2 linked regions of the Schizosaccharomyces pombe genome follow. The gene in region 1 interacts genetically with each later gene. Each region holds a gene or a part of one and is shown on either strand. Other genes may lie near its edges.

Evidence for each region. Genes that interact genetically often act in the same process or in processes that back each other up.
Region 2: of zip1 (region 1) and pof1, a mutation in one rescues a mutant of the other (synthetic rescue), as found in Schizosaccharomyces pombe (one study listed by BioGRID).

Annotation. Positions count from the first base shown.
Region 1 is NC_003424.3:4,298,011-4,301,902, forward strand, and holds zip1 (DNA-binding transcription factor Zip1), read left to right. Parts: upstream 1-1,804; 5' UTR 1,805-1,948; exon of another isoform or gene 1,949-2,011; 5' UTR 2,012-2,055; coding exon 2,056-3,048; 3' UTR 3,049-3,391; downstream 3,392-3,892. Other genes in the region: meiotic recombination protein Rec10, read right to left, coding at 3,392-3,892.
Region 2 is NC_003424.3:1,372,202-1,377,571, forward strand, and holds pof1 (F-box/WD repeat-containing protein Pof1), read right to left. Parts: upstream 3,395-5,370; 5' UTR 2,683-3,394; coding exon 865-2,682; 3' UTR 521-864; downstream 1-520. Other genes in the region: SAGA complex deubiquitinating submodule subunit Sgf11, read right to left, coding at 80-106; protein mug15, read left to right, coding at 4,386-4,746, 4,831-4,871; SPOM_SPAC57A10.07 (uncharacterized protein), read left to right, coding at 5,104-5,370. UniProt on the Schizosaccharomyces pombe protein: Probably recognizes and binds to some phosphorylated proteins and promotes their ubiquitination and degradation. Required for the inactivation of zip1 via ubiquitination.

The DNA.
Region 1 (3,892 bases):
AGAATTGAGTTTATTCAAATAAGAAAAAATGATTATTTCTCTTAAAATGAATTGTTTTTAGAAGTGAACAGTTTTAGATGCTAGATGCAAACGTGAAAGATAGTATATGGTAATACAAAAAACGAAGGATTGGTAAATGGGAGTCCGGGAATTTTTATTTCACTTACGAGTAGAAACATGTAATTTTTTTTCTTTTATTCCATAAGCTTGCGATGTTTGAAGTCGTTGACAACGTCTTGCTTAGTTCAAACTGCTAGTCACCTGGGAATTATCTGAATAAATAAGCATTAAAATATGAACAAAGATTGGCGAGTCCAAGTTTATGTGAAATATCAACAACGATATACGTCGATTCATAGGAGGTTTGAACTCATCAACCTAAAGTTAGAAATACATGGCAAAAGAAATTTATCACAGATTGTTAATATGTTTGCAATCAGACATTGACTTAAATCAATTCTTAAGACTTGTTTGTAAGTGAGCAAGTTTATTATTGTTTTATGAATGATCGAGGTTGTGTAAAATGGCACAGTTTGTATTTGAAAGCTAATTTGGAATCCACAAAATTTAAGATATATAACAGAAAAGCTTTTATACAGCTGAAGTCTTCATTTAATACCCCGAATCCGTCATTGTCTTTTATTATAATACCGAGTTTCTATGCAAGTTAGGTAAAACTCCATATTTGAAGTCTTGGACATTGAAATACTTAAACTGTAACATTTGTTTTAAACTATTAGGATTAAATTTTCAAAGTTTTGATGGCACACATTGTACTATAGTTAGCAAGTATATAGAACGGCGATGGTTGACAAAAATGAACTACAAATGTAACCACGGAATGAACGTGAAGGTTTATCGGATTTTGATTTTAACGCTGTTTAATTTGTATTCAGCTACCTTTAACATTAATGATGAATTTCTGCTATTGGATTTCTAAAACTCCTCTGAAAGCATATAGCAGACAATGTCTTACGCAAATACAAAAAATGCTTTAAGGATTTCAAAGCGTTTTCCACTGATTTTTTTCTTATGCAAAAAGCAAATCTATTACTGACTTTAAGCTTGAACTTCAATCATTCTCATTTCTATTTCGTTTCCATATTCTATTATAGAGGATCTGTCAAGTAACATGTTTTGTATTTGATTCTTTTTTTACACAAGCAGCACTAGTATGAATAAGTTTTAAGAAGAATATGACTTTGTTCCGGAATATATTAACTGACTGAAAAGTAGAGAATATACTGTTTTTAGAAAAAAAAAATTGCGAATTGTCTGACGCACTATTGTTTCAATATATGAACCGTTGTTGGGGATGAAAAATGTTCAGTAAAAACCCCAAACTTAAAACTTATTGCGCATGTAGATCTAAAGTAGTTTATTCAATTAACTATTCGACTGACTATTACAACTGGGCCATTGATATATAAAATGAGCGAATATTCTAATGGCTTTAGAATTTTCAATATAAGATAAAACTTCCGATCATTTACACAAAAAGCAAGAACTTAAGACTGCTTTTTAACTCTCATTAATAGCATACGACTGATTTCTTTAGGATTTTTTTCCTAAATAGCAATTTGTTAGTGACTTATATAATAACGTTTTTCTAGCAGGTTTAAACTACTACGGTAACAACTTCTATAATAATTAACGGTGCACTATCTTAATATAGGATAGTTTTATGAGGATCTACGTACAGCTACACTACATCAGATTTTTAACGCGGAGATTGTAATCTCATTATTATCTCAACGCTGCATGATCCCGATCGCAGACGTGCTGGCTCAGTCATCAAATTTTCTACGATTACCAACGTAGCGTCGCCATTCATCGAGTCACTAAATTTGGTGGTTTAGCTCGTTTATTGCGAACGGTTGAGTGTGTTTTTTTTACCTTTGTGAGATATAATTTGATTAGTAACGATAATTTTGCCGTTAAGTCTTAGGTAAGCTTATTGTTGGAGAGTTCAGTTTTTTAGCGAAATTCCATGCTAACAATTGATTTTCAGTTAATTTTAAGAGACCAAGAGTCTCAAGATAAAGCTTTTGACAAATGGATTTTACTCCTAATAGCGCTATCAATCACTTGAATCTTAAGTTCGATGATGTTCCTGTCTCTGACGATTTTTCAAAGGATGATCTCGCAGAGCAATTAAATGTATTCACAAATCCATACTTTTTAGATTTAGAGCCTTCTAGTATGCTTTCAGAAGGCTATTATGGATTTGTTTCTCAACCTTCAGGTTCTTCCAATTCCAATAAGCAGGAAAAGAACGTGCAGCAACAGAATCCCGAAAAAATTTCGACTTTGCAGCAAGTTAAAGAGGAAGAAGTTAGCAATACCTTTTCTGCCCCTTTGAATGCAACTGGAAATTTTTCTTCTGCTAATCCTGCTTCAATTGATCTTGCTTATCTCGACTTGCAGAAACTCCTAACCCTACCTGATCATTCAAAGGAAACTCAAGAAAAAACTTCGTCTCAACGAGAGCTCTTTGAGCAAAAGTCTTCTGTTGCTTCAGCCTCCAAGGATAATGTTTCTTCTTCCTCAATTCTCCAAGGTTCAGCTTCCTCCAAGTTACTACCTGATCAATCTGCAAGACAACATCAAGTTTTGGTTGGACAGACTGCTATCCCGACTTCTGAAGCTAGCAGCTCTATTAACAATACCCCTTTACAAGCTCCCGTTTCTTCATTTGCTGATCAAAACGCATTTACCAATCCCCTTTCCACTTTTGCCAGTCCTGATTTAGCATCTGTATCTTCCCCTAGTCTTTCTTCTTATAAGGGTGCTCAGTCTCCCAATGCTAACAGTAAACGCACCAAAGCTACTTCTGCCATCCGTACTGCTGCTGAGGAAGATAAACGTCGTCGAAATACCGCTGCTAGCGCTCGTTTTCGCATCAAGAAGAAGCTTAAAGAACAACAGTTGGAACGCACTGCTAAAGAGTTGACTGAGAAAGTCGCCATTTTAGAAACTCGTGTTCGTGAACTGGAGATGGAGAATAACTGGTTGAAGGGACTTATACGTCCTACTTCTAACTTTTAAAAGTGGTTTTCTTTCCCTGTTATTTTATACCCCTGTCTTCTGCATTGATATGTTTATTTCTTCGATAATCATTTATTTAACATATAAAGGTTTTCTTTACAGGTAAACTTATGTTTTCTTTTGGAGCAAATCTTTTAATTTTCTTTTTTTCTGCGTATGCATCCAACTGCTACGTTCAAGTTCATCAGTTTTACGTTTACTAGGTAATGAATTTGATAATATACCTATTTTTCTCGTGTTTCTTGCTTTACGTAAATAAAATATAACGCTTCCAATGTGAATTGTTTTAAAGTAATATGTCAATATAAGCCAATATCAATAAATTTGATACTATAGGTTCAAGCTACTTAAACATCAAACTGTCAATTTGGCTGACCAGATTAACTTCAATTTGCGCCAATTCCTTTTCGATGATCTTATATCTAGCAGTTTGTCTTTTCGAAAATTCCTTAATCACTTTGTTACAATTTATGTGGTAAGCCTCAAGCTTTGACCTCAATTCCTTCTCGTTCTGTAAAATGCCCTCGTATATTTGATTTCCTATCATAGAAGTATAACGTTGTAAACCATCAATAGTAGCAGATTTGCTAGATGGATTGTATGCTTCGTTCTTCTCAACTGTCTTAAAAAATTTGTTGTAGGGTATTTCCTCGAGCTTGACAGTTTCCGCATTGGGATTCCTGTACTCAAGTTCCTGGCGATCTGATATCAGCGTACTGCTACTTGAGTCTGGCTCCTTGTCATTAAAACATTCATTATTAGGCGGGCTTGAGCAGGTACCATCTAGTAGACTGGTAATATTTGGAGTATTTGCTTGTTTAACAAAGGTAGAGAGATCAATTTG
Region 2 (5,370 bases), 2.9 Mb from region 1:
AACAAGCAAATCTTTTTTTGGCGAGGAAGTTTAATTTTGAAAGGAAAAACAATTACACATAGAGAAATCAGGTACTTACAATACCGGCAAGAGAAGCAGGCTGCATCTTTAAACCATTCTTTGGGAATCAAAAGTTGAGTATTCCAAGCAAGTTAGTATTGTTACAAAGCCGGTGATTCCAAAATTTCAAACAATGAGGAAAAAGATGCAACTGATCCGTATGGGAAATTGAGATTTACAGAACGGAAGTGCTTCAAATTGATGTCTTTATTATAAAAATTATTAGGCTCAAATACTTGGTGTTACATCTTTAGCTTGCGTAGGAGCTGACTTTATTTGCTAATAGTGAGTGTTGATATAATTTGCTAATTTCATACTTCTCTGACTCCAAGAGCAATGCAAAATACACACGCTCATGAAATAAAATATCAGTAATCCACTTGCGCAATTGGAAAAAACAACGCCTACAACATAGTACCTAAGTTTCTCCCTTTTACAATTCATCAAATCATACATTCTTCAGCTCGACTAAGGATAAATTGTATTCATTAAATACATAAAATGTTAAAAGTCATAAAATAATTCGCTAGTAAATTAAGCAAAAGGCTAAACTGTATGCCGGGATGCCATCAATCTCAAATGATTTAAATAATACAATACAGGCAAGGATATTAGAAGTAGTTTTTGATTATAGACAAAGTGTTTGTTACCAAAAAAGAGCCAAATTTAGATATGGCATTTTGGCAACCCGAGCAATAAATAAAGACATAGCTTCGAATGATGAAAAATGAAGGATATACAAGCGAAATGCCGAAGAAAAAAAGAAATAGACACAAACAAAAAGGCGATGCGATGTTGGGGTAACTACGATTGAATCGACACATCGTCATTATTGGCATTAGAGGGTGGGATATTTAAATTTCTGGTTGAGATATTGGATAACGAGGATGAGTAGTTGGGTACTGAAGAAAGAGCTCGTTGCACACTTGAATTTGACCTTTGACCATTAAGGGAAGATATCGGAACAGATTGTGTAGATACTGGAGATTCATTTGGAGCATTATTGAAAAGCCACAAATATATTTTCCCATCTTCAGACCCACTGACTACCTCACAGTCTCCAAGAGCAACCGAGGTTACAGGCTCCGAGTGATTCTTCAACGTGTGAACACATTCACAAGCCTCCCAAACTTTAACAACACCATCATGAGCTCCCGAGATTAAACGAAGGTGATCTGCCGCAATTTCCCATACACCTTCAATGTGTCCAAACAATGTATGAACACATTTTTTCTTCTCGATGTCCCATTGCTTTATTGTGCCGTCCAATGAGCAAGAAAACAATCGCGAATCAGCAAGAGCTAAACTCTGGACAGGGCCAATATGAGCACTGAAAGTATGAAGACACGTGTTTGTTTCCAAAGACCAAATCTTGATGGTGGAATCGTCGGAACCGGAAAGAACAAGTCCACGATCTCTAATTATGCGGACAGAATTGACAGGTCCTGTGTGACCGCGTAAAGTGATACGCTTACCGCCAGAAAAGTGCCACAGCTTAACTGTACAATCTGCGCTTCCAGAAACAAGTAGCGTAGAGTCAAACGTTAAGCATAAAACACTATCCGTATGACCATGTAAAATAGAAATGCATTCAGAGGTTCTGTAGTTCCATATACGAATAGTTTTGTCCATTGAACCGCTGATAAGTTTACACTGATCGAATTGAAGGCACGTAACACCACTGCTATGACCTTCTAATAGAGCAACTTGTTGAAAGGTAGCAAGATTCCATAATCGTATAGTGGCATCATAACTGCCGCTAGCAAGAATGTTCCTTACAAGTTGTAGACACATAACACCGTCAGAGTGGCCACTGAGAACAACCTGGCGACAACGACCATGCCGCCAGTTGCATTCAACTCTACAACGTTCAGCATATACTTCTTTCCATGGTCTGGTTTTAAAGGGAAGAAAGAATTTGGAATCGGAGTTCGGAGAAGGTGGTTTGACAGAAGAAATAGTCTCTTCATTACTCGACGTCGGATAATCGTCCAGCTTTGCTTTTTTGACGGGTGAAGATTCATGAGCCTGATCGACGCCTCTTTTTGTAAGTCGTTCATAACGTTTTTGTATGGAAGCCTTTGCTGCGTATAAGGTATTTCTTTCGAGTAACGGAAGTCCCCAGCCGCATTTTTCACATTTTCGATTAATATGTTGTTCACACATCCGATGCCATATAACATCATCATCAGCAAGTTCTTTCCAATGTTTACTGACTTGTGCAGCTTGGCAAAGGCTTCTAGCATCCAAAAAAGATAAAATGCGAAACGAAATTTCAACAGGGAGCAAAGAGAGAAAATCTAAGCGTACTAGAGAATCTAATGTGCTGGAGGCAAAAGAGAGAAGAGAGGACGAACAGTTGTTTAAAATGCCTTGCAAAGCGAGTTTACGTTCGCTGCAAGAAGCCTCTGAAAAAGCAGCCCATACAGCTTCGACACGTTGACGACTTTTTTCGCTTAAACCAGACAATTCATTATGCATTGAAGAAATATTAAAAGCCGAAACGGAGATGGATTGATCACCTTCTTTTTTTTCCAGTAAATGGCGTTGCCATAGCTCTGCTCGTGGTGCAAGATTATCAGAGGGTTCGGAAGTGGGAACAGATTCATAACCTGTAGTCATTTTTTTTATAAAGGTTAAATATTAAGTATGAAAAGAAAGAAGGGACAATGCAAAGGTTGATTTTAGGGTAAAAAAAAATAGAGTGGATAATAGCACAAAAAAATGTTATCACGGATGATGCGGGTAGATGTTAACAGAATGAAACCAGAAATGATTTGGATAAGATGATAGTAGTATAAAAGACTATAGTAATACAAAAAAAAAGGAGAAAACTATATGAAGATTGTAATAATTATGATAAGCGGGGAAAGTCAACTATCGAACCTTACAAAGTAATTTGTAAGTAAATCGAAAATTTAAAGTGCTAGCTGATAGAAATATATGGAAACAAGAAAAAAAATTTAAAAAGAGACACAAACTATGTAAAAGATAAACGAAAAAGAAACTAGAAGATCAAATATAAAATACACACAAACTCGTTGCTTTGGCAACCTTCAGTAAAAAGATGAAGAGTTGAGGTAGAACCAAGATTTTAATGATTCAAAAAACTCCAATAATACTCTTTATCCAACCACTTGATTATTCCAAATATGTGTATTTTCTTGAGGTGGCTTTCGATGAGGTTAAGGAGGAGAGGATATAATATAGAGAGGATTGTGAGGCCTAAAGACTAATAATCACCTAATGAATTTGAGATTTTGAGTAGAATTGCGAGATGTTAAGCGAATCTCAAAATTACGAATCCGAAGATAATGTGGATAAAACAAATTGCAAAGATGTCGTTCTATTCGTCTCAGTATATATATGTGCGTAGATCATTAAAAATCTGTCCACTTCTCAGTTAATGCAATTGATTTCGATTAACCAACTATTGCGCAATCTGCCACTCATATTGAAAATTTTTACTGATCTGCAAACGTTTAACAGCTATTTTCCACTAGATTAATAAAAAATAGCCAATCCTCACAAGTCGCACCTTTTTCGGGGATCGGGGGAAATGTCGCTGAAGGTGTGAAAATGCAAATTTTCTCGGATGTCAACAGTTTAATCAGTCGCTTCAAAGTTTGTATATTTCTTAATTTTGGTGAATTTCCTCCATATTTCTTCACTTTGTATGGCGGCAATGGAGCCGTAATGCTAAGCAAATCGTAATTGAGTTTGTAATAGCTAGCATCAGTTTAAACTCGAATGAATTAAGTAACCGCTTATATATTCATAAAAACTTCTAAGTAATTGAGCTAGGTGCGTTTATAGGGATGATTATTCGCTCAGAAAATGATTAAAACACTGCTCAACTTGTTCACCTATATATAGTTGTCGTAAACAAAGCTAAATCGATGATTTATTACAAGAAGAAAGAATACATGATTTTCGGTTAATCACATAACATGAACAATATTGAAGAAGGAAATAGCGATTTATTGAGCCGCTGTTTTTTTCATGAATACCGGTTAACATAGATTTTTAAGTATAAATAAAAGGATAATGACTAGCGGTTTCATTGTTCATCTTTGATTGAATATTGTTAATGTCACGTACGCGTGAAATATATAAAGTCGCCGAGGAATATGCATATAGTCTGCATATACATTATTTTGAGAACATATATTAATTTAAATTGTTTTTGTCACAAATTCAATATAATATTCTATGCATAATTAATTCATCAAAACGACTGTTGACCTATGATTTGCCCTTAATGTTGACTGATTACAAGTGATGGACATATATTAACCAAATATTTTTTACACAACTAAATAAATATGAACGTTGGTGATTTGAAAAGTGCCAATGACTTGTATGAATCTGTACGCTCAATAGAAGGAGTGACTGGTGTCCATTTATTTCGAATAAGAGATGCAGGCATTTTGAAGAGTACTATGATACCAGAGTTAGACGCGTTAACCACAATTAGCTTGGATGAATTAAACAAGTCTCCTACCGTTTTCACTAAAAATTTACTTCAAGGTTGCGGTGGAACTGATCTTGATGTGCCAGCGGAATTGAAGAGATTGGTGATTTTCGTATGCAACATTTTGGAATCCTGCAACGAGTTCACCGATTTAGGCTCAGCAAGGTTGTTACGATTGACTTTCGATTCTTGCCAACTGGTGATTATGTATGGTATGCTAAACGCCCGAATTTTATTTTATCTTATTTTTTAAATAAAAAGCGTAAATAAAGCAATAAATTAACTAGAAAATTTAGATTCTTTGTTCGTTGTTGCAATTACAAAGGATGAAACATAAAACTTTTTTTTGCCGTTCTTATCAATAAAATTAATTTTATTAATGTTTGAATCTATGGTAAATTAATTTTTATAAAAGTTTTAGCTCGTTTAAGCAATGAGAAGCTTCGCGTGCTTTGTTTGGGTATCCTGGGTATCACTGATAATACGCTACCGCGCTACAGCAACTTTTTATTTTCATATTTGTCTTGCCAAAGACCTTCACCCAGGTTGGGATTCTACTGGGTCTTTAAATGTTAAATAAACGCTTAACTATTCAATTGCCTTTTTATGCTACCCAAACCGCCTCATCGTCTAGATTTTGGCGAGTTCTTTCCCCAAAGTCTCGAACTGGAATAGCACTTTATGCTTCTCTAATATTGCTTTGCATATTTTTTACTATATTTTCTACTATGAGCCATCCCAGTCTTCAATGCTTTAGTCCTACTTCCTTGGTAGGAGCACAACCTTTGAAAAACCTCACACACTTGATTATTGTTGCCGGTCATGCGGTTTGGTTA